7 separate regions of the Mus musculus genome follow, and regions 1, 3, 4, 5, 6 and 7 are each reported to be linked to region 2. Evidence: microRNA targets listed by miRTarBase, many of them from high-throughput screens and not tested one by one. Region 2 holds a microRNA gene; each other region holds the end of a gene's coding sequence.

What was found. The annotated mature microRNA mmu-miR-15a-5p reads UAGCAGCACAUAAUGGUUUGUG and lies in region 2 at 1,503-1,524, shown strand. An mRNA with a match to its seed (bases 2 to 7 or 8) in the 3' UTR can be bound and repressed. Matches are read on the target gene's strand: a 7mer-m8 pairs with bases 2 to 8, a 7mer-A1 pairs with bases 2 to 7 and ends in A, and an 8mer does both.
Region 1: the mRNA of Tle4 is a reported target of mmu-miR-15a-5p. Seed matches in the 3' UTR shown: 8mer at 2,227-2,234.
Region 3: the mRNA of Slc31a1 is a reported target of mmu-miR-15a-5p. Seed matches in the 3' UTR shown: 7mer-m8 at 2,200-2,206 and 7mer-A1 at 3,076-3,082.
Region 4: the mRNA of Vps37c is a reported target of mmu-miR-15a-5p. Seed matches in the 3' UTR shown: 7mer-A1 at 1,355-1,361 and 7mer-m8 at 1,558-1,564.
Region 5: miRTarBase lists Zmiz2 as a target of mmu-miR-15a-5p. The part of its 3' UTR that is shown has no 7-base or 8-base seed match.
Region 6: the mRNA of Igfbp3 is a reported target of mmu-miR-15a-5p. Seed matches in the 3' UTR shown: 7mer-m8 at 1,660-1,666.
Region 7: the mRNA of Rnf40 is a reported target of mmu-miR-15a-5p. Seed matches in the 3' UTR shown: 7mer-A1 at 2,262-2,268.

What each region holds. Positions count from the first base shown.
Region 1 is chr19:14,446,502-14,450,706 of GRCm38, reverse strand. Tle4 (transducin-like enhancer of split 4) reads left to right here. Exons shown (of 20, transcript NM_011600.3): 20 at 866-2,635. The coding sequence ends at 973. Among named protein-coding and RNA genes, the nearest start is that of Gm8630, 13 kb to the right of the region's middle.
Region 2 is chr14:61,629,394-61,633,598 of GRCm38, reverse strand. It overlaps Mir15a (microRNA 15a), which reads left to right and starts at 1,489; the gene lies at 1,489-1,572. Dleu2 (deleted in lymphocytic leukemia, 2) reads left to right here. Exons shown (of 7, transcript NR_028264.1): 4 at 1,116-1,162. It overlaps Mir16-1 (microRNA 16-1), which reads left to right and starts at 1,627; the gene lies at 1,627-1,719.
Region 3 is chr4:62,387,669-62,391,873 of GRCm38, forward strand. Slc31a1 (solute carrier family 31, member 1) reads left to right here. Exons shown (of 5, transcript NM_175090.4): 4 at 199-367; 5 at 930-4,101. The coding sequence ends at 1,131. Among named protein-coding and RNA genes, the nearest start is that of Cdc26, 19 kb to the right of the region's middle.
Region 4 is chr19:10,712,998-10,717,120 of GRCm38, forward strand. Vps37c (vacuolar protein sorting 37C) reads left to right here. Exons shown (of 5, transcript NM_181403.3): 5 at 1-1,631. The coding sequence ends at 237. Among named protein-coding and RNA genes, the nearest start is that of Cd5, 24 kb to the right of the region's middle.
Region 5 is chr11:6,403,942-6,408,146 of GRCm38, reverse strand. It overlaps Zmiz2 (zinc finger, MIZ-type containing 2), which reads right to left. Exons shown (of 19, transcript NM_028601.3): 17 at 4,192-4,205; 18 at 3,865-4,107; 19 at 1,985-3,157. The coding sequence ends at 3,050. Among named protein-coding and RNA genes, the nearest start is that of Mir7651, 4.4 kb to the right of the region's middle.
Region 6 is chr11:7,204,668-7,208,820 of GRCm38, reverse strand. Igfbp3 (insulin-like growth factor binding protein 3) reads left to right here. Exons shown (of 5, transcript NM_008343.2): 4 at 313-452; 5 at 1,315-2,735. The coding sequence ends at 438. Among named protein-coding and RNA genes, the nearest start is that of Igfbp3, 7.2 kb to the left of the region's middle.
Region 7 is chr7:127,601,615-127,605,819 of GRCm38, reverse strand. Rnf40 (ring finger protein 40) reads right to left here. Exons shown (of 20, transcript NM_172281.2): 20 at 2,215-3,353. The coding sequence ends at 3,177. 1700120K04Rik (RIKEN cDNA 1700120K04 gene) reads left to right here and starts at 1,375. Exons shown (of 1, transcript NR_027915.1): 1 at 1,375-1,917.

The DNA of each region.
Region 1 (4,205 bases), not on the chromosome of region 2:
ATAAAAAAAGTTTGACATGCAGTATATTAGGTACTTGTCTTACACGTGTGACTTCTGATGCTCCCAGTATTCTTGAGGGTCCTATTTTAAGCCTTGTCTGTGTGTGGTCTTCCCTCATCCCTTCATCACCCTTCACCTCTCTTCAGTGGAGTGTGTTTCTGTTTCCAACTATTGAACTCCTCTTTCCTGTTCTCGTGTTCTGTGCTAGTAGCAGTGGACATTGTGGCTCATGTCTGCCTTTAGTTGTTAGGCCTGTGCAGTGCTTGCCGCTCTGTGGTACCGCCGAGAGCCAGGCTCCCTGTCTGTGGCAGCTGAGGTCTTGGATCTTGAATGTCCTACTTGCTCTGTACTCTCTAGTGAAGAAAGGGGGGTTGTTTGTTTGTTTGTTCTTTTATTTTATTGTCTGTATGCTTGTCTGTTGACCAGGTTGTATACCTGGTACTTGAGGAAAGCAGAAGGAAACCCCTCCCCCAAACTGGAGTTTAAAAACAAACAAACAAACAGTTATAAACTGCCATGTGGGCTCTTGGGTTTGAACCCATGTTCTCTAGAAGAGCATTCAGTGCTCTTATCCAGTGAGTTCTCTCTCCAGCCCCAGGAATAGAGTTTAAAGAACTAGGATTTGCCTCATTGCAGAGCCCGCTGACCATTGAGTTACCTCTCTTTGATGCCTCAGGACAGGAATCCTTAGCCTAAGCTAAGGATGATGTCCTCCTGCCATGTCTAGGAATGTTGGTGCTGCCCTCTATCTGCAGATGTACTTGGTGCTCTGGGGAGCACTTTGGTTGTACATCTGCTCAGCCACACCCACCAGTCCTGCTGCTCAGTTCCTCTATGTGACATTCTTGATATGTTTCTTCCCTAGTCCAAAGAATCCTCATCGGTGCTTAGCTGTGACATCTCTGTGGATGACAAGTACATTGTCACTGGCTCTGGGGACAAGAAAGCTACGGTTTATGAAGTTATTTATTAAGGACAAATCTTCGTGCAAACTGGACTCCTCCTCATAGCACTTTGCGCTGTTGTACTTTTCTGTTCACCCCTCTCCCATTCTAAAACCAAGGATTTCCAATACTCATTGCAGTTGTGGAGTTTAATCCCTTCCCATAGCCCCACTTCCTCCTTGCTATTGAATTGTGAATACTCATTAAGAACCTGTGATACCAAATCTTCAGCTATCGTCTTGGAAGAACATGGAATACCTAACAGTGAATGGAATCTTTAATTATGTATTATATCTGTAATATATTTATTTTGTTTAAAGAAGGCTTTCTAACAATGACTGACTAAATAAAGCTGTCCGCTCCTGCATTGATAATGAAGGTGCATTGTATTTGATGCTCCACCCCTCCCTTTTGGTGAGGGAGGGGAAAGGAAGGTTTAAAATAACTGATTTAAATGTCACTAAATGTAGACTATTGACTGTATAGAGATGTGAAATGTATAATTACACACGGAAGCAATATGTTGCTGTGTTGTTATGAGGTTGTTTTGTTTTATTTTCTACTTATATTAAAAACATTTGGAAATTTGGCTGTTTGAACAAGTAGAATATAACAGGCCAAGTACTATTCCTTTGAGTCTATTTGGGCAACTTTAACCAATATGTCTATAACTTTAGATTACATTCAACAAAAATAATTAGATGTTTTTCTTTTTTATTTTTTACTTGTTGACAAGTATCTTTGTAATATTTTTTAATTCCTTTTTTTATTGTATTATAGACAGATCAAAAATTAAATTGGGCCTCAAAGAGAGAACTTAATTTCTTCTAAATATTTTTGCCAAATTTCCTGGCAGAGGAAGCTGTGTGTCTCTGGGCAGTTGTGATGCTGTGAGACATGGCAGGCTGTTTTGTGTCATGCTCTTTAGGAGCTGTAGGTACAGGAGGACTGCTTGCCTACCGCTGTGCAAAGCAAGTCTTTCCCACACAAAGGCCAGCAGAGGAGGGTTTGCAGAGCCCACCCTCTGAAAGCCACAAAGAAGAGCCTCTCCCGGGATGGTGGCTTGCTTTATTTACCTCTGGTTCTTTCCATGTCTTAGTTGGATGTCCCTGAAATGGACACAGGCTGTGCCATTGTGCCAGAAACATTGTGTTATCTTTTATGTTGTTGTTGTTGTTGCTGTTAAAACTATAACATGTGACTCCTTTTTTATTATTATTTTTTGTTTGAATGCTTTAAAAAGATCTTTTAAGTCTGTGGATCTGCTGATGTACAGTGCCTTTGCTGCTATGGATCAAAATCAAGAACTGTGTAGATAAACTTTATTGTATAAGTAGAAAAATCACTTAATTTCATACTAGAAATGGATGGATGCTGCAAGCTGAAATGGACTGTCATTGACGTTCTTTGTGTGGTAGCAAAAAAAATGGTGTCTTAAGTGCTTAGTGTTTGATGTCATTAACAGTTTCATAAAACTCTACAGTGTAGAAAGATTTTGATACTAAACTGTGCATTGTACATAGTTCTAACGCATTGTGTTGGCCACCAGTACTTCTATGATGGTAGATTGTTTGTGCATTCAGACTTTTAAGCATTAAACATAAATAACTTCTAGAATGATTATTTTCTAATTATTTTTGCTAATTGCTTTGTCTATGCCACTCCCTATATTAAAATCACTAGTTATATTCAAGTCAGATTGTTAAGTACTATGGGTTTTGAACTGTTTCTTTTTTTTTTTTTTTTTTTTTAATTTTTCTTTTGAGATAACCCAGAAAGCATGAAAGAAGTTATGGAAGGCAGGTGGTTGCCAAGTATTTACTGAGCCTCTCATTTTGTTGACAGTCTTTCATCTAGAAGCAGTCCAAAACTCTCAAACTTGAACCATTTAGATTTTTACTGTCATTCTGGTAAACTAGCCACTTAAAGCTACTTAAACTTAACTCTTGGAACTAATTAATATTAGAAACCTTTTTTTGCCAGTAATACAGACTAAATTTCAAGTGCTCAATAGCTCCACAGGAGCTAACAGCTATTGTACTGGACCTCACAGATTTTGGTAATGTTTCCCACACTGTTGTGAATGCTCTGGAGCTAACACAGCATTCAGAATTTGACAGATTGGACCATTGCCAAGTGTGGGGGTTTGAGGACTTTTCAAAAAAAACACACAAGTTTCTGGAAGCATCCTGGGTTAGATTTTTTTTTTTTTTAAGACTAGGGCAAAGAAGAACTTGAATCCTAATTTGTGGGACAGGATTTGGGATCGTCATGGTAATCTGCAGTGATCAGCCATAGGAGACCCAGCTAGGTACTAAGTGAGTGAATTCCAGCGTTATTCACCCATGTAGACCAAATCAGCAAGTCCAGTGAGATGCCATAAGCTGGCTGCATTGCAGGATGGTATGCAAATCCACTGAAGCTGCTGAGAAATAAGAGATCATTTCTTAAGATAGTAAGTGACTATCCATAGAGATCAACTCGAGGTGGGGAGACACTCTTTGTTGGGCGTGGAAGGAATAATGGATATAGAGAGGGCCTTGAACTTCTGTTAGTTACTCGTCGGCATGGTTCTGACAACATAGAAAGTCAGAAGGAAAAAACACGTTTGCACATCAGAAAACACAACTTATATGTCTGGTAGGGTTACCCAGAGAGGCACAGAGAATTGGCTTTATAAACTGACTCTGTGGCAGTTGTTGTCGATAGATAATGCTGAGAGCTTATCCATTCCCCAGTACTGGGCTTATAAGAGTATATTTTTCTTATCTCTGTGACAGAACACCTGGTGGAAACAATTTAAGGGAGGATAGTTGGGTTGGGGGGCAGAGGGGCAGGCGAATTGTTCGGTTGCTTTTTTGCTCACTGTTACAGAGCTATTTCAGTCCAGCAGAAAAGGCATGGTAACAGTATTGGCTCCATTTGTGATTGCAGGCAGAGGCTTTAATCACATGGTGCTGACTGGGAAGCACAGTTCACAGACTGGAACCAGGGGCAGTAAAACCTCCAGAGACCCCCACCCCTAGTGACCTCTAGTGACTACTGCTAGGCCTCTTAAAAGCTCCACTGCCTCCCCCAAATAATACTACTAGCTGGGGAATAAGGTCTAGAATCAAGAGGCATACCTGTATAAGTTGGAGGCCTGTCTTAATGTACACAGAAGTTTTGCCATAATTATTGAACTATAAAGGTAATTTTAAGGGTCTGGGACTATGCCTCTGGTGTGGCAAGTGCTGATGATCTGATACCTCTGAAAAGAAG
Region 2 (4,205 bases):
GTAAAATTCTGTTTTCTTATACGAATAATATTAATTTCAGGTATTTAAAGATTGCCATGTATTCCTATGTACACTCAAGTTACCTTCTTAAGCAAAACATTTTGTTTTCTTTTCAGAATGGCTTTTTTTTCCTTTTAAGAACATTAGTAAAAAGTTGAACTATGTAAAAACCCAACAAAGAAAAATTATTTTGGTCCTTAGGCCAGAATATAAACCACTGAATTTGGAACGGGGCATGATGGTGCACGCCTTTAATCCTAGCATGCAGGAGGGAAACCAGGCAGATAGATCTCTGAGTTCCAGTCCAGCCTGGTCTATAGAATGAATTGCAGGACAGCAGCCACTGTCCTCAAAACCTCTCTCAAAAAACCACTGAATTTGAAATTATAATCATTGTATAAAGATAAAGGACAAAATCACTTTTAGCAGCTTTTATCTTTATTTTCAGACTTTTTTTTTTTAAGCTGGCACACTTGAAAGCAAAGGTTTGAAGATTTAAAGACGTTTTGATATTTCAAATGACCCAACATGAACGGGAATGGAGAAATGGCATTGACCCACTAGAAAACATTTGCTACACAGTAATCTAGTTTGAATGGAAAATCTGGTATGAACTGGAATAATAAGAACAGTTCTTTGTGAAGGGATGGCTAAGTCCCCCACTAAACAGAAAAGAGTCTTCTTAATAGTGTAAGAAAACCTAGATATTCACACACACATAAAATGAAGTTGGAACTTAACGTAGTAAAAATTTTGTTTCAGCTAAGTCAAAGTCCTGTGGTATAAAATGATACTCCTTTAAAGGACTAGCCTTTTTAACTGGGAAACACACAAATGGTTACTTAGGCTTGAGCTACAGGATTTCTGATATATCCTTTTAGGAAACCAAATAGACCTGTTATCCTAAGATGATGTTCTGGGTAATAATAAATGACACTGAACTCACAATAACTATTCCAATATTGAGATAAATCTTGTGTTCATGTGTAGATTGGGGGTTATATATTTTTGGGGAATATGTTTCATGTGTATGTCTTCTAAATATTTTGCTAGTATAAATTTCTTGAAACTGAGCTCTTACATGTTTGTTCTTACATGTTTCCTTTAACATGAAGCTTTGTCCTATGGATTTGGCTTTGAAAGATGTGCTGCTCTTAATAAGGTAAAAACCAACTTTTGTAGCTATTTCATGTGTTAAGCACATTCAAAAGTTGTTAGTTTAATAAATGAGGTTCTTAAGTTGGTATGGGAAAATGACTTGCTTTTCTCGTTTCATGACTACAATAAATTACAGCACTGTATTAAGTTTTCTGTACGCTTTTATTAAACTTATGATATGGAAATACTTTTTATTCTGCTGAAAGCCTATAAAATTATGCACATACCAGTGTTAGATTTTTTTCAAACATAGATTTTATGTGTTCTACTTTTTCCTAAAAAGCCTTTTCTGTAAATTACTATTGAGGTGCTAGGAGTTTTCAAAACCAACCCTTGGAGTAAAGTAGCAGCACATAATGGTTTGTGGATGTTGAAAAGGTGCAGGCCATACTGTGCTGCCTCAAAATACAAGGACCTGATCTTCTGAAGAGAGTACCTGTCTTTTTATTCATAGCTCCTATGATAGCAATGTCAGCGGTGCCTTAGCAGCACGTAAATATTGGCGTTAAGATTCTGAAATTACCTCCAGTATTGACTGTGCTGCTGAAGTAAGGTTGGCAATACTCTACAACTGTAATTCAATGTGTATTGATGTTACTTGTGTGTTTACACGGTTTTTCTAATTGCATTAGTGATTTTATGTTTGGTATGATTCTGTAATGATGTTAGTAACAACGCTCTACATATTGTGTCTGTTAAAATACTATATAATTGTGGGATGGTAATGCAGCTCAGTTGGCCAAGTGCTTCTTGCTAGCATGCACAAGGCCATGGGTTTTAGCCTTACCACTGCATACCAGGTACACTTGTAATCCTAGATCTGAGGAAGTGGAAAAAAGAGAATTAGAGGCTTAACATCATCCTTGGCCATAAAGCAAGTCTAAGACCTATGTAAGGATCTGTCTTTTAAAAACAAACAAAACATAATGACTTCTGTGTGAGGAACTGATTATAGGACTTCTAGATACCCAGATTTGTAAATGCTTGGATCTCCTGTATAAAATGTCTGCTCGTGACCAGTGCATATCCTCCCTTATACTTATTTAAACTTATCTCTACATTGTTTTTAATGTGTAGTGCAGTGGGATGTTAACATGGATAGTTGTATTATTCAAGTTATTCTCTTAATGATGAGAAAAAAACTGTACAATTCAGTACTAATGCAGTTTTTGTCCAAGAAATAAGTTTTTTGGTTTGGTCTTTTGAGCCTGGGTCTCACCATGTAGACCAGGCTGCCATGAAACTCACTGAGATCCTCTTGCCTCCGCCTCCCAAATTCTTTGTTTAAAACTGTAGGCCCCAATGCCTGGCCACCCAAATGTTTTGAATGTGTGGTTGGTTGGATCCACAGATGGAGCACTGACTAATAATATAACAAGTATTTTTAAGTCTTGAACACCTTTCCAGAGTTTCTTGAGAGCTACAGTGGTACAGAATATACCCAGTACCACCAAGGCTCGAGCTCTCTTTCCAGCATTTCCATATAAAAGTTTATTTGAAAGAGTTTAGGAAGTACCAAATTGTACATGAATTTAAACTCATATTATTACTTATAATAGAAAAATACTTTTCTCTTGATTTGAAGTTTTCTTTAGATACAGATAAAGTTTGAAATGCTACAGATTATAACATAATCTTGAGTATAATGTGCCTAAATATTTCATTTTAAATGAAGGAGAATAACACTAAAATGTGTACGTTGAATTTTTAAACTTAAATTTAGAAGAATCCTTAGAATAGCTGACCTTTTTATTGGTTAACTGAGGAAACAATCTGAAATTTAATTTGCAACCTATGACATATTAGGGTATAAATCCTATATCTTCTAACTTAATAATTACTGTTTTTCTTATTTTTCACTAAAATGTTTAACAGGAGATTTTTATAAGTCAAAAGTATGAAAGACATCTCATCTGTGCCTTAATATTTAACTTCAGATTAAAGCTAACAGTCATTAATTTTATAAATATATTCAGAATATTTTAATTATTTCAAAGGAAATGTTCTTTTTTTTTTTTTTTTTTTTTAAAGATTTATTTATTGATTATATGTAAGTACACTGTAGCTGTCTTCAGACATTCTAGAAGAGGGAGTCAGATCTCGTTACGGATGGTTGTGAGCCACCATGTGGTTGCTGGGAATTGAACTCCGGACCTTCGGAAGAGCAGTCGGGTGCTCTTACCCACTGAGCCATCTCACCAGCCCGGAAATGTTCTTTTAACTATCCCATGTGCTTTATTTTAAATGTTTTACGTCATTATTTTAAAATGTTCAAGAAAACACATTATCTCACAATAATGTCCTCTAACTCTGTCATTACTTTTTACAAGGAGTCTCTTACCTTTTCAGATTAAAGGTTCATAATTAATTCTACCGTGTGTTGTGGAGATCCTAAAAGTATTTCAGTTATTTTTTAAGGAATTGTCCTCAAAAGAACCACTACTCAATTCTAATTTAAAGGTAAAATTAAGTAAGTTTTAACAAGTTGATTTAATTAACTATAGACTCCGTTTTTGGAGCATTTTTTCTGTGTATGAGTACACTGTAGCTATATTGATGGTTGTGAGCCATCATGTGGTTGCTGGGAATTTTGAATTCAGGACCTCTGCTTGCTCCAATTGGCCCACTCACTCCAGCTCTGTAGCTGTCTTCAGACACACCAGAAGAGGGCATCAGATCTCATTACAGATGGTTGTGAGCCACCATGTGGTTGCTAGGATTTGAACTCAGGACATTTGGAAGATCAGTCAGTGCTCTTAGCCACTGAGCCATCTCTCCAGCCCCAAAATTTAAAGCTTTTATATGATAATGGTATTGCCTCTTTTACAAATCTCTGTGGGCCACTGAGGTAAGCATTTGTTACTTAAGCATGATATCTCTTCACAGCAATAGAAAACTCCTTAAGATTACTTTAATTGTATATAACTTTTCCCACTACTTTTCATAGGGAAGAAATCGCCTGTATATATTAAAATATACATTTAAGTGTAAATTTTAAATATATTTTCACTGACTTGGAAATCTAGAGTTCATTTCTATCTTTGTGA
Region 3 (4,205 bases), not on the chromosome of region 2:
AGTTATGCCTTGCCATGTAGCACAGGCTAATTGTGTACTTGTCATTTTCTGCCCCAGCCTCCTGAGCACTGGAATCATAGGCCAGTGCCAATGTGACCGACCAGCAGTATGCTCACTAAGTTTTGACTGTACCGTCACCTCTTCCTTCTTTTCTCTCTTCCTCCCCTCCCCTTTCCCGTCCTGTCCTTTTTTCCTCAGAAATGGCTGGAGCCTTCGTGGCAGTGTTTTTACTAGCAATGTTTTATGAAGGACTCAAGATAGCCCGAGAGGGTCTGCTTCGAAAGTCTCAAGTCAGCATTCGCTACAATTCCATGCCTGTCCCAGGACCAAATGGAACCATCCTAATGGAGACACACAAAACTGTTGGGTAAGAAGATGCAACAGATCCAAAGGGAAATTCTAGAGATCTCTTAGTAATGTAGTAAGGCAGGCCTTCTTCTTCCGGAGTTGGTGATTCTAACTTTAGAAGTTCCAGGTTGTGGGCTATGGTATTTGGGATCCTGCAAAAGCACATACACGTTTGTTCTATGTTGTAAGTGTCACTCTGAAAGAAGTTTAACAGTATCTGGTTTTTAAAATATTTGCTATGTAGTAATGGGCATTTTAAGATATAGTTAAGATATAAAAGAATGGCAGAATGCGATTGATTCCTTCCTGTCGAGTTAAATCTAATCAGATATGATGGATGCCGGTAGTCCCAGCACTTGGAGAAGGCTGGAGGACCAGAATTCAAGGCTATCCTTGGCTACACAGTGAATTTGAGACCAGCTTGGGCTCATGAGACCCTGTCTCAAGGAAAAATCAAAAGTTCTTTACAGATGTGTGCGTGCGGGCGTCAGTTTCCAGGATAGCCGTGCTGCAGTCCAGTTAGGCTGTTCTCCTGAGCTGCAGGTGCCCAGGTCTGACTCTCCTTCTCTGCTTATCCCCAGGCAGCAGATGCTGAGCTTCCCCCACCTCCTGCAGACAGTGCTGCACATCATCCAGGTAGTCATCAGCTACTTCCTCATGCTCATCTTCATGACCTACAATGGGTACCTATGCATTGCAGTAGCAGCAGGGGCTGGGACGGGATACTTTCTCTTCAGCTGGAAGAAGGCAGTGGTGGTGGACATCACAGAGCACTGCCATTGATATCAGACTCCACATATGGCCTTATTAATTGCTGTAGGAAGCATCTTGGGACTGGAAGATATGATTCCCTTTCCAATCATCCCTTCTCTCTCCTGTCTATACATACACACCTACTGAATAGAAGCCTAGCTGACAGTCTCTGAATAGTGGTTTTTCTAATAAGATGAGATTTTTTTCTCTTGGGAAGTCACCTGTGAGATGTCTTCTCCCTCATCATCCTGAGCCTTATCTAATCCAGGTAGCTTCCTAGTTAAAGACTTGGTTATCTGCTTCTTTTTACTTCTCCAGGTTTTGATTTGTTTTGTTTTGTTTTATTTGCGGGGGGAGTGGGATACATTTTGTTTTAAACAGATATGTGTATTTGATAGGTGGGATTCTGGGTCAGTGATAAAAAAGGATTGTAACAGGATTGATGGCACTTAGGGACATCTCATCCAACCGGGACTTAAATTTCACACTAGAAATGAGCTCCAGTCTTAACTCAGTGAATGGGAAACACATGTTCCTCTCTCCAGGTTACACTGAAACCTGTGTAGTGTGTACAGAGTGGGTAGGGACTAAACACAGGCCTAGCGTCTATGAGTCTGTATTCCTGCTCAGTCATCAACTTGTGTTCCTATTGAACATTTGATCAGAATGAACTTGCCAATCAAAACAAAAACAGGACAATCAATTTAAGACAACAGAAATAGAGATTGTTAAATAAAACCATTAGTATTTTACTTTGACTCAGTACCTTGGTTTGTCCCAACTGAATAAGAGTTTGTATTGTGTGTGTGTTCCTTGAAACCAATGATTTTCAAACTTTACAGCTTCAGAATCACCCAGAGGGCTTGTTAAGACACTACTTGGTGGACCTCAACCCCAGAACCACCAAATTTGGCATTTCTAAGTTCCTAGGTGATGTTCTACTCACAGTCAGTCCAGAGGATTACCTTAAGAGTCTCTGCATTAAACTAGAAAAGTTGCACCTAGAAGGGACAGAGGGTGGGGCTACCTGCTATCAGGCATGAACATGTGAATTGCTGGTTAGTAGGTGGTATGCCTTGGGCACATGTCACATCTAAATGCTGCTGGTCGATACTTTATCATTCCACAAACATTTATTCACTTCCAAATATGTTTTATGTATACCCACATACAGTGTGTGGGATTACAGCCAAAGTATACTTGTCAACATATACGAAGTCTCTAGTCCTAACTTTTAAAGATCTAAGGTTCCTTGGAAGTTATTTGAAGGCCAAGAGACCTTTGCTCTGCTGTGTGAGTCAGCCAGTCAAAAGCCCAGAAAGGCAAAAACCCAGCTTTCTTGTTTGGAGAGACATGGGGCATGTGTCTGCCAATAGCCAGTTGTTCTCAGTGTGCACTATGTAGGTCCCCATCCACTACTTGACCACCTTTATCATTTACGGGGATTTACATAGATTACAGTGGCCAAGACCCCTTTCTCAATGAAGGATCTCATTGGACGTCCTGTCAATCATTAATCTACATGCAGGCTTGTTCCCACACTACCTCTTTAAAGCGATTCTTCCTATGCTGGTCTGTTCAATCCTGCCCTCTTTGGTGCTAGATCCAGTTGTGCCTCAGAGCAGAAGAAACAAACCTGCTGTCTTGTTGGCCCAGTGTTTCAGTTTTGAAGTGTGTACTTTCTCCTCTGTGTGTGCCAATTACATATTAGAGAACAAGGAATGTGTACTTTGGTGGCTTTGAACCAAGAAAAGGTTTTAAGCCTACTGGATGGAGTCTAAAATTCTTAGAAATCAACTTTAGAGCTTTGCTTTTCTCTGAGTTCATCCTGCAGTGAATGACAGGTACTGACAGCCCAACATTAAGGTGCAAATAGCCTGTTTGTCATATCAGAAGCCATGGAATAATAAACCCAGGGGAATCCAGAAACCACACTTAGTGGTAACCCTGGTGCTCTCTAGAATCTCCAAATGAGCTGCTATAAAACACCTTTCAGGGGCTGAGATGCAGCTCTGGTGTGAGTCACTTACCTAGCTTATGTCAGGCCCCTAAAAGTAATGCATAAACTGTCAGAATCGGGACCTTATCGTTGAGGTGAAAAGAACCAAGGCCCGTAGGAACAAGGTGCTATGAATCTGAAACCAAGAGAAACCTCAGTTTGGCATGGTTCTTCAGGGTAGCTTCCGAGTAGAAATAGTCTGCTGCAAATCCTAAACTTAAGATCCCTGCGCTAGGTTGCTAGAGACTGCGGTTAGTGCAGAACAGAGGTAAGCCTAAGTCCCATCCTCATGAACTTCAATGCCCAGCCTTTGTGTTTATTTTATCTAAATGTCTCCTTTCATCTGTGGGAAAGCTATAGCTGAGTGTCTTTAGCCCCTGCCCTACTTTTCCCTCTCTGACTTTTTTCCCAGGTAGCTTAGTGTTTAACATCTCTCTCACCATCCTGATGCAGTAGCATGGCTATTGCTGAGGTTATTTTACCTAATAATTAGAACTTTGTATTTACAAAGCAAGTAGAGGTCTTAAATTTGCTTCAAGAAGCAGTTGCTCCACTGGAATTTCTATAAAGCTGGGTAAAGGGTTAGCAGAATTACAGATCTTAAGTACTAACTGCAGTCCAAGATGGAAGAGTACTCAGCAGCCACTGCCCTCATCAGGAACCTCCTCGGCATCCATCAGTCTCCTCACTGCTCCTGTGCGCAGGGCTGTCCCTCCCACACTCCCTTCCAGGCCGTGGCCTTCGCTTCCTCATTAGAATCAGGAGAGTGAGGCACAGTGTCCATCATGCCATTTAATCTTGTGCCTGCCCTTTCCAGCCTCTTCAAAAGATGCATCCAAACAACAGGTCTGCATTTGATGTAATGCCTTAATTACTGGGGCCACATTCACGTTGACTGTCTCAGAGACTGTAAGCTCCCGGAGAGCAGGGTTGCTGTAATGGGAATGTTTAAGTGTTGTGTGCAAGAAAACAAAATAAATATTTTGATTTTCGTGATTCTATGCATGTCTGTCTACACACTGTCCAAATAAGCTGGTTCTGGGACGTCAGTCTCCTCCATGGCATGGCCTTGTTGCTCTCCTGCCACTCTTAAGCAGACCTGGTG
Region 4 (4,123 bases), not on the chromosome of region 2:
ACTAGTACCTCTGGTCCAGGGTACCCCTTAGTGGGGGGCCGAACCCCTGGTCCTGGTTATCCTCAGCAGTCCCCCTACCTCCCGTCAGGAAACAAACCTCCCTACCCAACACAACCTCAGCTCCCGGGCTTCCCAGGACAGCCCCAGCCTCCTGTGCCCCCTCAACCTCCATACCCTCCTGGGACAACCCCTTCCTATGGCTTCCACCCTCCAGGGCCTGCCTGGCCTAGGTATTAGTCCTGGTCTGTGTCCACCTTCTTCCTTCTACCTGCACCACAGCCTTTGGCCTCCATTTGCTGAGATTTGAGGTTAACACTGGACGTGGTGGTGATGCGCCCTGAAACGCTGGGACACACAGAAGCCCCGAGCCTCGAGTTGGAAGCACATAGGCCTCCTGAAAGGCCCTGAAGAGTGCAGCATGAGTCCTTCTGGGAGCTCCTTCTGCCAGGGACTGCTCAGCACATCCTGAGTGGCCTGCTGGGAGCCCAGGGCTCTCTGGTGTCTGCATGAACGGGTGTGTTCATGTCTTTGCATAGCTACCTGCGCTTGATCCCTGACAGCTGAACCAATGTAGAATAATCTTGATGCAGGGTGACCCTGGGTCTCGGACCCTGCTCATCCAGGCTGTCCCTTGGAGCTTGGTATGTTTGATGTGGAATCACATGCCAAGTGATGACAGAGTTCTGTCTGTCCACTAAAGGATGCTCTACCTTATTTACCACGGTCGGGTCGTAGGAAGGAACAGTTACGAAAAGTGGACTTTGATTCCTGAAAGCCATATTTTAGCTGCCGTGCCAATGTCAGGCAAGCGTGTCCTACGTGCTGGCAGAGACCATAGCAGCAGTGGTATGGTGAGAGAGCTGGGGATGCCAAGGGAAACCCAGGCCTCAAATTGTATGGTTGGACGTCCTAGAGGTCACCCTGGAGCCCCGGGCTGGAGTGGAGGACCAGGGTTACCTCCCAGCCACTTTTCACTCCTAGGGCCCTCCACTTCTGGCTGGCTCTTTCTGAGGTTCACCCACCCCTCCACTCCTTTAGTGCCTTGAATCTTATTTGCTAGCAGCCCCCTTTCTCTTGTTTATCTCCTTCCTTTTCCCAGTGTCCCCGCAGAACAGACACCAGACAGAACACCCCCATGGTGCTTCCCAGACATCATCACTACATTGGGGTTGGTTTCTCTACACTCTCATTCTCAGAATGTAAAGGGTAGGGACTGTGAGTGCAGCCCCGGCTCTGGGTGGGCTGGAGCCTGCTTAGTAATGAAAGTGACTACACTAGTCTACAGGGGTTGCAGCAGGTGATGCATCTGTGTGGCTGGTCCAGATGTAAATCAGGTCTCAGGGCGGACCCTGGAGCTGCTACGGGTTAGGAAATTGTATGTGCCTTGAAACATCCCTTGCCTGGGTACCCAGCCTCTGGTGGGCCAAGGTGCTGGGGGTCAAGGAGGAACCCCATCTTCTGGTGCCACTCTGCCCACCGGCCACGGGTGCATTACCACATCTGCTTGCTTCTCCTAAATTATTTATAGCGTGGAATCACTAATGGCATCTGTGAGACTGCTGCTGAACTGGATAATGACTGCCCATTTGTTTGTGCAATTGCCACAATAAATGTTGATGAGTTCCGTGGTCTGTGGTGTCCATGATGAGTTTGAGAGCAGGTAGGCCACCACCTGTGGGGTGGTGACTTCTGCAGCCTTAGTCTGTAGAGCACCTTCCATCGGTGGCCACCTCTTGATTCCCCCCACCCTCCCACTCCACGTCTTCCTAGGGTTTGGCTCTTTCTACTTTCTTTTCTGTGGTTTTCCTTGGCTGTTTCTTGGAGCCTACAATGCTTGCTTTGTTCTAGGCTACATGCTTAGCTACTCAGTTCCACCAGGGGGCACCAGTGCCTCAGTCCAGGTTGGGAGGTAAGTGTTCCTGTCACCTGGTGAGCATGGTTGTAGTCTATCCATTTTTCTAAACCAAGAGAGGGAGAGGGAGAGGGAGAGGGAGAGGGAGAGGGAGAGGGAGAGGGAGAGGGAGAGGGAGAGGGAGAGGGAGAGGGAGAGGGAGAGGGAGTGGGAGAGGGAGAGGGAGAGGGAGAGAGAGAGAGAGAGAGAGAGAGAGAGAGAGAGAGAGAGAGGGAGGAGAGAATATGTGAATGAGAATGTGTGTGTATGGGTGTGTGTCTGTCTGTCTGTCTCTGGGACCAAGTGGCCTGCTGTGGGCTTGGCTGTGCTCGCCACAGCATTTCTTTAAGCACTGTTGGAGAACGGTTATTCAGAAGCCTAGGAGGATTTGGGAGACCAGGTTCCTGGCAGTTTCCTTGAGTCAGCTCTCTGCCCTTTCTTCCTGGCAAGGTGATAGAGATAGGTTGCCTGTGATAGAAGCCCAGAGGTGCTAAGGATCACCAGGATTATGGCATGTGTTTCCTAGTGCCCTCTCCACAGCCACCCTAGCCTTCCTTGCCCCAGGTTTAAACAGGAGGCAGGCCTGTTTAAATGGAGCAGTGACCAGGTTACACATGGAAATAGGACTTGGGTTTTGATCCACTGAGTCCCAGGGCTGTAGGGTTCCTGCACCATGCACTGTGGTGCATAGAAGTCCCACTTGAGGACACAGCCAAGATCTTACCACAGGAGTTAAGTCACCTGCCTTGGGTTATACCAGAGTGGTGGCGGGGGCATAGGGCCAACTTTTCTAAGAAAGGACTTGGAGAGCCACGTGATCTGCATGAGGCTCCCTCTGCCTTTCTTCCTCCTTCCGTCCTTCCGGCTGCATTGCTAACATGGCAGCATACGATGTCATAGGTCCTTTCTAGCTCCTCTGAAATAGTTACCAGATCACGTAGACCTCTTGCTGCACTCCAACAGTGACAGGCCCTGGGTACAGAATGGGGCTGGAAGAGCCCTGAAGAGTCCTCCAGCTCTGAGGCAGGGATTGCTGCCTAGTGATCTAAGGAAGCTTCCTGTTAGGCTTTCAGTTTCTTTGACCTCTGTGAGGAGGAGGCACTGGAATTATCTGTGTACAGGTGCCTTCAGAGGTTGCCCAGTGACAGGAAAGTGGGCAGGAAGGTAGGGTACCCAGGAGTGGGAGGGTCAGTTCCTATTCTGTTCCAGTGATGTAAAATGGAAACCCCAACGCAGCCCAGGATGCAACAGGGCAGCCTTGGTGGCTGAGATGTGTGCCATGAACTTCCCAGCGGAAGAGCAGTGCTGGCTCCTTGAGGGCCTGCTCCTACATCAGAGCCTAGAACTTGACAAGCTGTAAGGAATGAGATTGTTCCTCCTGGGCTGTGTGACCTGGCAGGTCTCGTTGGGACACATCTCCCAGGCCCACATAGCTTGAGAGTTTTACGTGTATTCCTATATGGAGGTCTTCCTCAGTCCTTCTCGGCCTAGACAGGTAGGGTCTCTCACTGAAGCTGAGCTCACTGATTGAGGTAGGCCAGCCGGCCCGGGAGCTCCAGGGCTCGGCCTGTTTCTGCCTCCCCGGTGCTGGGATTTTAGGTGCCTGCTGCTATGCCCAGCTTCTTATGTGGGTGCCGGGGATCTGAACTCAGGTCCTCATGACTACAGTGCAAGCATTTTGCTGACTGAATTATCTCTCTAGCCCCACAAACAGTTTTTTAAAGATTCCTTTTCTGCTAAGCTTTTTGGTGTATTTTTCTGTTAAATAGGCTCTGGAAGCTTTGAGATCGCTGGTAGACATAAAGAGCTTTACAAGAAAGACACCATGGGAGGCAGTGGCTGCCTTGGATTCTGCTTTCTAGTAGCAACCTCTTAGCTCCCTGTCATGGGGCTCCTTCACTCCCTTAGGTATGAGCAGGCATGTGATAGTTCCTGTTTCTGAGTTCTACTGTGATTAGTAGCTGATATGTGAGCTGGGCTGTTAGGATGGAGACCTAGGGCTGGAGAGATGACTTAGTAATTATGAGTGAATACTGCTCTTGCAGATGACCATAGTTCAGTTCTCAGCACCCTTATCAGGTGACAGTCCAGCTTTAGGGGTCTGACCCTGCACATCCAATCACAAAGACACATCATATACATATAACTAGAAATTAATAGAAGTGGGGCTTGGGTGGGCAGAGGGTGTTGTAGGAAGGGCAGAATACTAGGCAGATTTCTAGAGTGATGGTG
Region 5 (4,205 bases), not on the chromosome of region 2:
ACCCAGCCCTCCCCCCACTTTCTCTGCCCTAATCTTCCCTCCCTTCCTCTTGGCTATGTCTAGTCCCTTTAAATATATTGCTAAGTACAGACTTTCGAGCTCCACTTACTGAGACAGGGTCTTTCTGTGTAGCTAGCCCTGGTGGTCCTGTATACAGACCATGCTGGTCTCTACCTCCACTTTGTGTATGTTTTGTTTCTATGTCCATACACCACATGTGTACCTGGTACCCAAGGAGGCCAAAAGAGGGCATTGGATGGATCCCCTGCAACTGGTATTACAAATGGTTGTGATCTCCCCTATTTTGGGAATCAATCTCCAGCCCTAAGAATTCTACCTTTTGCTGGGTAGTGGTGGTTCGTGCCTTCAATCCCAGCACTTGGGAGGCAGAGGCAGTTGGATTTCTGAGTTTGAGGCCAGCCTGGTCTACAGAGTGAGTTCCAGGACAGCCAGGGATACAGAGAGAAACCCTGTCTCGGAAAACCAACCAACCAACCAACAATTCCACCTTTTAAATGTAGACTGTTGGCTGGTTTGAGGGTGCATGCCTTGAATTCACGCATCCAGGAGGCAGTATGTTGATCTCTGTGAGTTCAAGGCTAGCCTATTCTACACATTGAGTTCCAGGACAGCCAGATTTAGTGAGATTCTGTCTCACAAGGTTACCCACTCCCTCCTTGATCTGCTCCAAGGTTGAGTATGCTGTTTTCATTTGTCTGAACATTTTTTTTCTTTTAACCTATCAGTTGTTAAAAGACGGTGTGATACACATGTAATTCTAGCACTCAGGCAAAGCAGGATGATGAGGCTAGCCTGGGCTTCATGAGGGAGCCTGTCTCGTCTCAAAACCAGATGTGATTTCCAAATTTGTTTCTTTCCTGCTTGTGTGCTGGACTCCACTGCAGAGAGGCAGCAGGTTCCAGTCTAACTGCCTGAGGCATGCTATATATCCTGGGGTATGTTGCATGTATTCTGTATGTCAGGTCTAGTCAACTTTATTAAAGTTATGTAATACTTGGCACATACATAAATTATAGTGACAGAGCCAGTGCAATGCGGTGGAGAGCCCTAAAGCCAGCAGCCCTCACTGGGTCCATGCGCCTGCTTTGTTGAAAGGAATGCATGTACAGGTCCTGTGCAGCTCACTAGCCTAGAGCTTCATAAAAGCCAGTACTGAGTTTCTGCCACCTTTTCTGTCACCCATTCACAACCGAGCACAGGGACTCTGGCAGCCACTCCTCGATCACTTGTCCAGCTCCTGAGGTTGGCTTTTCTGGATGGCTGTGGTCAGGACAGATGGCTATGGTGCTGCTGGTCTCTAGGTTTCTCCAGACCGCAGGTACCTATTACAGAGTCTATGCCGGCATCCTGCCTCTTCCAACCCTGCTCCCTCTCCTCCCCTCGTCTAGCTCTTCCTCCCCTTCCTTCACAGAGGCTGTACACTGCTGTGGCGTCCTTACATTCCCTTGGCCCTGGCCCACTGCTGTCTTCTCCACTTCTATCCGCTCCCCCACTCTCAGCCAAGAGGACAGAAAAGCTGGAAACGGCCTCCCTAGGGAGCCCACCGGTGTGTTCTCAAATGTCAGACAGCTACTGAGCCTCTGCAGGCGGTTCCTTGCTCTTGCCCGGCAGCCTCCTCCAGTACTGCAGGGAAGGCTCTGGCAGCCAGCTGAGGATTCCCCTCACCCCTCCCTGGTTCTCACCTTTCCTGTTGCACAGGAAATGCTGTCTAGGCAGGGCGCAGGCCAAGAAGGGGCAGTGAACACAGGCTCAATCCCTACTGCTGTTGAGGCCCCTGGTCATGCTGCAGTCACTTGTCAGATAGCTGGCTCCCTGCCCTAGGGCACACCCAGGGAAGGTGACATGGTGGCAAATGTCTCCAGGGCAAGCCTGAGACGCTTTACAAAATAGCTCTGCAGCTGAAGCCAACTTGGAAAATTCCAGGGGAAAGGAAATTTACTACAGCTCAGGGATATCCTGAGCTTGGATGAAAACATCTAGATTTTTTATTATTTGGGGTTCTAAGAACAGAAAGGCCACAGACCCTCAGCACAAAGGAAGGACTCAGCCAAGCCCACCAAGAGGGAGTCCTTTAATAGATTGCACAGACAGGAGACACAACAGGCCAGCACCCTGCTTGCAGGCCCAGGCGCTTTGCCAGCAGATGCAATGGCCTCCCCCACCTGGGTGTGGGCCGCAGGGTGGAAATGAGGTGGTTTAAAAAACACAGCTGTACTAATTCTTCACTTTCACAGAAAAGAGAAACTTGGGGGAGCAGCTCACTGGAGAATTTACATAGAGCTGAGCCTGAAAGCCCACCCCTAGAGGAGTTGAACCTCCCCTGAGCTGTCTGTGCTCAGTAAGGGGCAGACACCACATGGAAGGCGCAGGCCAGTCCAGAGGAACATGCTGACTGAAATAGCGGTCCCTCCCTTTCCCAGCTGTTGGCATTTCTACACTATGTACATTGTTGTGCTTTATTGCTCCCACCCCAGCCTCCACCTGGAGCTCAGGGTGGAGGGAGGAACCCCTAAACCAGATTCAGCTGGGTGGGAGCGCCAGGCCCCCTAAGGCTGGTGCTCTGTATGGTTCTGAGGCTGCCAGGCTCAGGCACTGGAGCTGCAGACCAAGGGTACAGAGCCAGCCTCAGCAGCCAGCTCTGCTGAGGAGGAACAGAAACAGAAGGATCAGTGCTGGACAAGATGCAGGCTGGGTAGGAGCAGGCAGGGTGGAAGGACAAGTGCAAGGCCATGAGTCTGGGGCAGAGGGCTGTGCACGTGGGGCTGACGGGGCCTGCAGGCACCTCACAAGAACCATTCTGGAGCAGTGAGCTTGATGGAGGGAGGCTGTGAGGCCCACTGGCCTGGGGCCCCATGGAGCGCAGGGCTGCTTCCAGTTCATCAGGGCTGGCAGTGGCAGGCCCCAGCTCAGGGTGTGTGCATTGGGAGTTCAGGGAGAACCAGCAGGCAGCCTGTGGGGCTGGGTGAGAAGGGAAGGCTGTGGTGGCATCTTTGAGTGTGTCTTCGCCAGGCCAGGGGTCACCACAGGATCAGTTGTTCTCGAAGAGTGAGAGCAGATCATCACTGCTGTTTGTGGGGAGGTCAGGTGGGCCCAGGTAGGAGAGCAGTTCATCAGGATTGGTCAGTTCTGGGAGCAGCTGAGGGCAAAGCAAACACATTAGCAGCTGTGGGCGCAGCGCAGACCCTTCACTTCCAGTGGCCAAGCTGTTCTGGCCTCAGGCCCAGTGGGAATGCTAAAGTGCCCTTCCCTGCCAAATGCTGGGTGCCTGAGAGAAGCCATCTGGCTGTACTCAGCGGCCTCTGTATCGCCCCATGCAAGGCTACTACAGGACAACAGCTAGAGACTTGGTCCCCAGGAGCCAGTGAGAACAGTTGGAGGTGGCACTGGAGATGCACAGGCCTAAAAAAGGATCTCCAGGGCCCATGGTAGGATTCCATGCCCCTGGGGCTTTCTGCTCTGGCCTGCTCCTCCTCATCTTCCTCATGCTGGAACTTCACTGAGTTTCTCTTAGGGTCCAAGGACAGTGAACACACACTCATGCTCTTGCTCACAAACTGCCTGCGTTATCAAGATGCAGAACTGAATAAATGCCCAGGTCACATTGGGCTCTGAGGACAGCGCTGTGAGCTTCACAACCCAGGCTCCAAAGCTTCTAAGGGCAGGTCACTCATTAACCACACACAGGTACCTGGTACCCTATAGCTATTCCAGGTATAACCTGTGTGGAACAGCTGCCCCTGGGTGACATTCCCTCCTGAAGGTTCACTGTTATCCCTTCTATGAAACAAGGTGTGTAGACCCAGGGACCGATGGCTCCCACCCCACACAGGACTGGCTACTTACGTCCAAAGCTGGTTCTGAGGCCTCCCCTGCCCCAGTCATGCTGGGAGGCCCCATCATGCCTGAGGCAGGATTGAAAGCCAGTTCGCTGATGGGTCCTGTGTTTGGTTGGCCCAGGGGCTGCCGGGATGCAGGGGAAGGGTTTGGATGGTGTAGCTGAGTGCCTGGGGTGGGCCCGAGGTTGGGAGTGTGCAGTCCTGGTGGTCCAGGATTATGGGCTGGGTCCAGGTGGCCTGCTGGTGCCATCTGAGGATGGAGAAAGAACTTGTTAGAATAGTTCTAGGACTCCTTGGAGACTCCCCACCCATGGGCCTCTGTAGCAGCACTAACCTGGCCTGGGAGGC
Region 6 (4,153 bases), not on the chromosome of region 2:
AAGAAAGTCAGGTCAGGAACTCAAGGCAGGAACTGCAGCCATGGAGGAGTACTGCTTACTGGCTTGCTCCCCATGGATTGCTCAGCCTGCTTTTGGATAGCACCAGGACCACCTGCCAAGGCGTAGCGTTCTCCACAGCAGTCATCAATCAAGGAATGTATCATTGGCTTGTCAGCTTGTCAGTCAGCTGGGAACATTTTCTCAGCTGGTGTTTTTTCTTCTCTAGAGACTCTAGCTTCTGTCTGTCGAGTTGACATAAACTAGCCAGTACACATGATATTCAAGTCCCGGTCTTGTCTCTCTCTCCCTCAGTGCCGCCCTTCCAAAGGCAGAAAGCGGGGCTTCTGCTGGTGTGTGGACAAGTATGGGCAGCCCTTGCCAGGCTACGACACCAAGGGGAAAGACGACGTACATTGCCTCAGCGTGCAGAGCCAGTAGATGCTCCGTGCCACGTAAGCCAGAGGTTCCGGCCCCGGACTCAGCTCCTTTGGAAAGTGGTTGAGGTTAAGGGGAATTGCTAGGAGCAACTATGGCTGCCAGGTACCCACCCCTCATCCTGGGCTCCCTGGCCCAGGAGCTGCAGCCAGGCCCAGAGAGAGGCAGGTAAAGGGGATTGTTCAGGGAGAAGAAAGTCCTTAACCTAACCACACCCCCAAGGACAGACACCAGGGTCAGTGTAGCTTCAAAAACTCTCAGCTCTGTTCTAAATGACTTCAAATATGCACTATTTCATATGCAAGCAAGCACTGTGGGGGGTTTTAAATAAAACTTTATCCGCAGTAGTCCTGAGGGTTAGAGCACACTGTTTTCTTCCAGGAGAACCTGGCATATTTGGTTTCTGAATTAGAGATGTCCCTAGTTTTGTTGTAATAATTTTTTTTGAAAATTAGAATATTCCTTTAGTTTGTGGTTAGTTTGATCTTTAAAGGAATTATTTAAACCTAATAAAACTAATGTAACACTGATATTCTAAACCACCATTTCGGAGAATATTATTGTATTTAGCATTTTGTTTTCTTTCAGTAAATGAAGGAATTATGGGAAAGAGTAAATATGCTTTGCTTTCTTGACAATTTTCATAGGCAGAAAAAGATTTCATTTTTACTTAGAATATTTCCCTCATCAGTTGGAAAAATAACTCTAATTATGGATAGCACTTTTTAACAATGAAAGTATTTGATGGTGTTTGGTGAGAAAGAATAGACTGAGGTCCACCCCCTCATGCTGAACAAAAGGGGGAGCCCCCCCTGAATATTGGAGGTAATTATTTCAATGTATGTCTTACTCTTTTTCTTTCTTTCATCTTCCTTTTAGATAATATGGAGCTCAAATATGCCTTATTTTGCACAAAAGACTGCCAACAACATGATCAGCAGCTGGCTACAGCCTTGATTTATATATATATATATATATTTTATGTGTGTGTGTGTGTGAGTGTGGTGAACTGAGTGAAAACAAACACACACACAAACCAAAGTTTAGACAGATTTCTGAAATGCCTCTGGTCATTTAAATAGTGAACTTGATCATCTTCCTACTTCCCAGTAGTCAACAAAAAGCAGTTTGAATTTTCCTGTTGCTTCTTATGAGAGACACTCGTGTACTCCAGGCCCCGGATGCCATCTGCCCCCTAACTCACCCACCCAGTACGGGCTTCAATGCTGCTGGCCCTCTGCCTTCTTGATTTCAGACGTTCCGTGGCTGATATAGACAAATCCTCTTTCCATCCCCTGTAAATAAGTGCAGGCCCTATGGAGAATGGGGAAACCCATAACCGAGTGACCCGGACATCTGGAAGCATATGCCTGAGGCTCATGGTCCTTATTGTGCCATCTCTGAATAAGGGCCTGGCCCTGTATCCGCAAGTGGCCTGATCTACTTGGGAACTGTGGGAGAGGATATGTGTTGTCTCTCTTACTAAAAATGACTGAGAATGTTCTAGGGCACTCTGGGAGCCCATAAGGACAAGGATAAGGACCTTTCTTTGTCAGGCATCTTCTTGATGACTTGGCCCAGCAGAAAGCCCCAAGTGGGAGGAGCAGCATCGGACTCCACGTTCAGAGATGTCGCAAATAATGGTGCGCTTAGTTCTTCAGATGACTTCAAAAAACAATGTTTTCTGGTCCAGCCTCTCAAAATAAAGTTTGTTGTGAGGTGGGGCTGCGGGAAGGCAGTTTTTCAAAAACACAGATTTCTTTTCATCTTCCTATCTAAACAGGAAAGAGGAGTGGCTTGTCTGAGAGCCTGGTAAGAGCATGGAGAAAATCACCTGTATGTTGATCTTGGGGTCCTTCTCAAACTCTCTTTATAATTCACGCATATATGCAGACAAAGTACGTTCTTAATTGTTAACATTGTATACAACGTAGCCCAGATATAATAGAATCTGTACTAGATAATCCTAGATGAAGTGTTAGAGATGTTAGGTGATATAACTGCAGACACGCCCAAGGAAAGGAGCCTGTGTCTGGAGGCTGGGCTGCTCTCCCCCAGGCCGAGGCGGAGGAGGTCTGGCAACGCAGGGTGAGAGGAGACTGTACTGCATCCTACGGGGTGGACATGCGCTGTACAGAGCTTTCCTTGAGAGCACAAAGGAATCTCAAGACATTCTGCCTGCCTATCAGCTTTTCTTTATTTTTTTAATTAAGTTTTTTGGGGAAAAATGTATTTTTGAAAAGTTTGTCTTGCAATGTATTTATAAATAGTAAATAAAGTTTTTATCATTTAAAAAAAAAGCCCTTTTGTCTGTTTCTGGGTCTTGAGTCACTAAAGAGATTATTCAGAGAGGACAAAATACTCTAGACATAGAAAACTATCATGAACATGAATAGATACCATAGCTGACTCCATGTCTAACCAGAAGCTCAATGGTACAGTTGTTGTGGCCTTGGTTGGCATCCATGTGACACCGGGCCACATGCAGAGGAATATCCAGGTCCACTAGGTTATGTTGGCAGCTATTGTCTAGACAGGTAAAGCAGGTCACTAGGTTGTTTCCATGACAACCTTTGTTGTTTCCTTGCCTTTCCAGTCGGTGCCCCTGCTTCCCCATGCAGATGATGTGAATGAGATCACTGGCTTTTCTGCCACCACTGTGCTTGGAGAAGGGGCATGGGCTGAGTCCTGAAAAAGGGGAGAACCCCAAAGGATGCTGCGATTGCTTCAGTCACTTTGGTTTTAAAATAACAGTCCCATGCCAAAATAATTCAAGTGTGTCCTAGGACCATGACATCAAACCAATTCCTGTTTAGAGCCATGTCATCCAACAGACATCTGAAGTGATGGTGACGTCACAGCGTTTAGTTGTGTGGGTGTTTGGAGATCTGGGGGTGTACAGTGTGACCACAGGGAGGAGCCTATGAAAGTCAGATCAACTGAGATTTAGCTCAGCTGCATGTCTGTTGGCCAACTATGTGCCAGTCCCACACTACATAATCGGAAAAGACATACTCCCCTGCTGGCTTTATCAATGCACGGGTCCCCTAAGCTAAAGCATGCGGTTTTCACAGTCAGGCCAGTCAGTGCCTCTGATTACGACATTACAATGCTATATTGAGGATGGAAACCGATAGTGTGTTCATAGAAGGACCATAGAAAGCTGCTGCCAGAGAAAGACCCTTGCAAACCTGAGAACTGCTCTTTTTTTTTTTTTTCTTTTTGCTATCCAATACTCTGTTTCAGAGACAAATCCACCTGACCAGTCCCTGCAGACATGGGGAACTTCATTGTTCCTGGATAGGACTGGGCAAAACCTGTTTGAGCCATATGTGATGCCATATAGAAGACCTGGAAGTCATTAAGAAGCCTCCAGCTCACTAGCTAAGACCCATCCCCTTTAATTCAAAGGCTACCCATTCTTCTCTGTTAATTGATCTGTGAGCTATTTCCCCTACCAACTTCTTATTGTCTAACCAGGAAATACATTTTAAAAATAAAGTAAAATATTCCTTCAAAGCTCAATTGGCAACCAGGGATTTTTGAGGTTTGGTTTGGTTTGATTTGGGGGAGGGTGTTTTTTGTTTGGAGACTTTATGGAGGCGGGGGGTTGTTGTGTTGTTTTGTTTTGGTTTGATTTGGTTTTTGGTGCCACAGTGCCAAGAGAGAAAAGAACTTGGTTTGGGTTAAATGTTGTTAACCATTAGTATGGCCATCA
Region 7 (4,205 bases), not on the chromosome of region 2:
CAGGAATATGGGTGGGTTAGTGGAGAGGGGGACTTGCCTTTTCATGTTCCTGGGTCCCCAGCCCTGGGAACACTAAGGACTCCAATAAGAGGAGGACCAGAGCAATACCTGATTTAAAGGCCAGAGGTCATGACTCCTATAGTAGGCTGGATGACACTTGGAAGTAACTACAGAGGACGGGGTCTCAAGAATAAGGGATCCCCGCCAGGCAGTGGCAGTGCACACCTTTAATCCCAGCACTTGGGAGGCAGAGGCAGGTGGATATCTGAGTTTGAGGGTAGCCTGAACTACAGAGTGAGTTCCAGAACAGCCAGGGCTACACAGAGAAACCGTGTCTCAAAAAAATAAAAAATAAGGGATCCTCTATATAGAAGTCAGGAGTGGGGTGGGGATAGATTATCAAATAGTTGGGGTTGGCTTAGAGCAGGCCAGACAAACTTAATAGGGACTGCCTAATACCCTAAGAAAACACATAACATTAACAAAATAAGTTATGAAATAACAACAAAATAATTTTATGGTTAGGGTCACCATAGCACGAGGAACTATATTAAAGGGTTGTAACATTTTGGAAGGCTGAGGACCACTTCGTTATCGAATAAGGGACCGATGGAGGTGCAGTCACAGAACACAGGCCAGAGTCTAAGGAGTGCTGAGAGAGAGTGGCACCATCTCTTGCCCTCCTTAAACAGTGGTTTTCAGGCCTGGAGCTTGGGAGGGAACTGTAGGTATAGCTTTACTGTTCCGTTGTCTCTGGATGGACCTCAGAGAAAGGCAAAGTGCAAAGGGGAGCGTGGTTACAGTTGAAGGAAGAGATCAGAAGACAGCACGATTCAAGCCGAGGAATGTAGCAGCTAGGGCCTGGGGTAAGTTCTGAGAGAAGTCCCCATCAGTGCGCTCAGAGGCAGTTGCCCTAGCTCCAGCTCAAACAGGAACACATCCTGCTCGGTGGTGGCCAGGGGAGGGTTCTGCAATCGATCAATCGATCGATCTCTGACTTGAGAGAAGAAAGCACACAAATTTGCACCAGTGACAGACCAATGGCTTGTTTTCATGGCTCTGCAAAGACTGCACACTCCAGGCACGAGGATCCTGGGACTTTTAGCCCATTCAGCTTGAGCTTAACATGAGGGAAAAGGTCTGCTTTGTGTTACTGTTAGGCCTTACTGCCCACATGGAGCTCTGAGTACTCCCAACCCATCCATTTGAGGACTCACCTCTAAAGGAATGGGGTCCATTACTTAGGAGGATTATGTTGGACAGAGAACTGACTGATGCCCCAGTGCACAGGCCTCCTAAGACTACTAGCTCAGTTCTAGCTCTGTCTAGTCTCTATGATGCAATATCCTGCTTTCCCCCACTCCCCCCACCCCCAGCATTCTAGCCGGGGTGGCTTTCATGGTGGCCCAATGTCATCTCCTATGGCTACTCGTGCTTCCCCTGCAGCTACTCGTGCTTCTGCGAGCGTCCCAGTCACTGCCAGCTCCACACCGGAGGTCACCGTAGCTCGCATCTCAGTCTCCAGTCCCACTTGGTTCAGCCACTGCGGCGTCACAGAAACTAGGCGCAGTCAGATAGCAGAAGGGGCCCGGAGTCCTCACGAAGGCAAGTCTGCGGAGAAGGCTGAAGAGCCTAGAGAAGGTACTACTGTGGCTAAGCCCGAGGCCACAACCATGGCTATGACTGCTGTTCCCACACCCACCTCACCTTCGCTTAGCGCAGGCCACGTAGCTAATCCGTAAAAGCGCCACCGGGAGAGCCACCAACACCACTCTGAACCCAGAGACAGCCCTCCATGTTTGAGCAAACTGTTTCCAAGGGTCCAGCTAATGGCCCAAGCTACAATGAAAACCCACCCTGCTGAGTTGTTCATGGTCTGTGTTCGCAGAGTACGGGTGGATAAAAAGCCTACAAATAAGACTGAAATGTGGTCACAACAGGTAAACTTGGCCCTTAGAGGTAAAGGACTACATATCCCAGTATGCAACCCACAAAGGCTGTTATCCATTCGGCCAATGCCAACCCATAATCAACAACTTTTCCATTGTGGAGGCGGCGGGGTGGGGCCCTTTGTAAACATGTCTGTAGATATATTGCTGCTAACCCAAGTGGTTGTAGGGTGGGCTGGGCTGGTTTCTCAAATGTGTCCAGCTTCCAACCATGCCAGGGAAGTGCTTGTGAGGTGTAGCGCAGAGACTCAGGTTAGACCAAATGGACGGGCTTCTCTGCAGCCTAGGGTTGGGTATTTTATTCATAACAATTAGCAGCCCATACACAACACCTCTAGAGCAGAGGCTGTGAGTCCAAAAGCTCCTGTAGCCATCTATCTGCAGCGCCGTCTCCCAGCTCCAGCAGACCCTGTCTCCGGCGTTCAGGACCCTGCTTAGGCAGGATCAGTGTAGGCTAGCTGGAGCACGGGCAAAGCTCTTCTACCTGGAATGCCTGCAAGTGCTAGATTGTTTCTTCCCTCCTGGCAAGTTGCACCTCCACAATTAAGATCACCAGGATGAAAGAAAGCAGGGCTAGGGCCAGGTACCCAAGGGACCACCAGGATGCGTGAGAAAGGGTAAAGTGGACTTGGGAGGAAAGGAGGAGATTGGAAAGAGTCTGGCTAAAAAAAAAAATGCCCCTGAATCAGACCATGAGGTGGCAGTGTCCCTGACCTGAATAGGGTGCACACCCAAGAGTGTCTTCAACACAAAAGCTACACCAGGGTACAGGAAACTCCACTGGAAGGCCAAATCCCTGCCCAGGCCTGGGGCTAAGTAAGTGAAGCAAGGCTCCTCGGGCCAGGACCCAATGTGAAGCCCAGGTCCCTGGTCAGCACTGAGCTTGTGCAGATGGGTGGTGAGCCCTTTCCTGGTGGAGGAATTCCCTTCTAGGGGTAAGGATGTATCTGTCTTCTCAGTAGAAACAGGTTTTGGTCAGCTTCCAAGGTTACAGTAGGATGCTGTGTACCTGGGAGTCCCCGAGGCTGCAGATCTGACATTCAGGAAAAGATGGCACTCAGCTTGGGTGACCCCACCTCTCCTGCACGCACCAGTAGCCCCAAACCATCTAGGCACATAGGGGCTGGGCTCATGGAGTCTGAAAGGGAGGTTGGGGCCATTGCCCCTGGGGGAGTGGGGAGCTGGGGCACAGCCCCTCGGGTGTTCAAAGTCCCCTGAGTTTCAGGTTCAGCTGATGTACACACGGTGGAAGTCGTGGGCACCAAAGGCTGCGTTGCACTTGGGACATTTCCTCTGGCGGGCCTCATAGCGGCCCCGCACACATTCAAAGCAGAAAACGTGGAAGCACTTGGTAAGCACGGCATCCTTCTTGCGGGTGTTACAGCAGGGGCAGGTCAACCGGGCCTAGACCAAACGGACACAGTAAGTCTGGAGCAAGTCTGACTGTCCCCAGACTCCAGGCTAAGGCCACCAAATGGTTGAGGCCTCTAATTCTGAACATAACTTCTGAAGGTGGGAACCAGCACTGCATGAACGAGGATACAGGCTCAGAGCCAAGTTTTCAAAATTAGAGTTGCTTACACCTATAGTCCCCAGGAGACTGTGACCATAATCAGCCAGGGTCACATAGTTAAGACCTTCCTCAAAAAGACAAAACTAACCAAAAATACAAATACAAAAACAAACAAACAAACAAAACTCGAAAGTGTCTAGGTTCTCCTAAGGACAGGGATAGGCCCTAACTCCTGCATCTCTTGCCTTAATAGCTTTTTTGGGCAAAATCCCCAAGTGGTCACTTGTCATTTCTCGAGTACCTGCTCAGTCACTGCTCAACAGGGCAGAACTGTGAGAAGCATGCTATCTGCACAGTCAGTCTGACCCACCCCTGGTGCCAAGGCCCTGCTGTGGACTGTCCCCAACTGCCACCAGGAGGCTCTCAGTGTCGGCTCCAGTCACCACCTTGGGTGAGCACTGCTTGGCCTATTTGGAGTCTCAGCCAGCCAGCTCAACTCCCCAAATTACTGTTTCTCCATCTCTCAGGACAGGGCCATGCACACTGGAAAGCCTTTCAAGGCTCGTGTCTTCCCCGAGAAGGCCAATGGGGGGATAGCTAATCAATGACTCTGCCACCTTCTCCACCACAGTGCTCCAGAGACCGGGAGCTCTGACCACCCTTGTTCTACCCAGGTTCCCTGGCTTGGCTCCCTTCCTTCCTTCCCTACCCCTCCCATCAAGGCTTTCCCCACTCACCAGGCT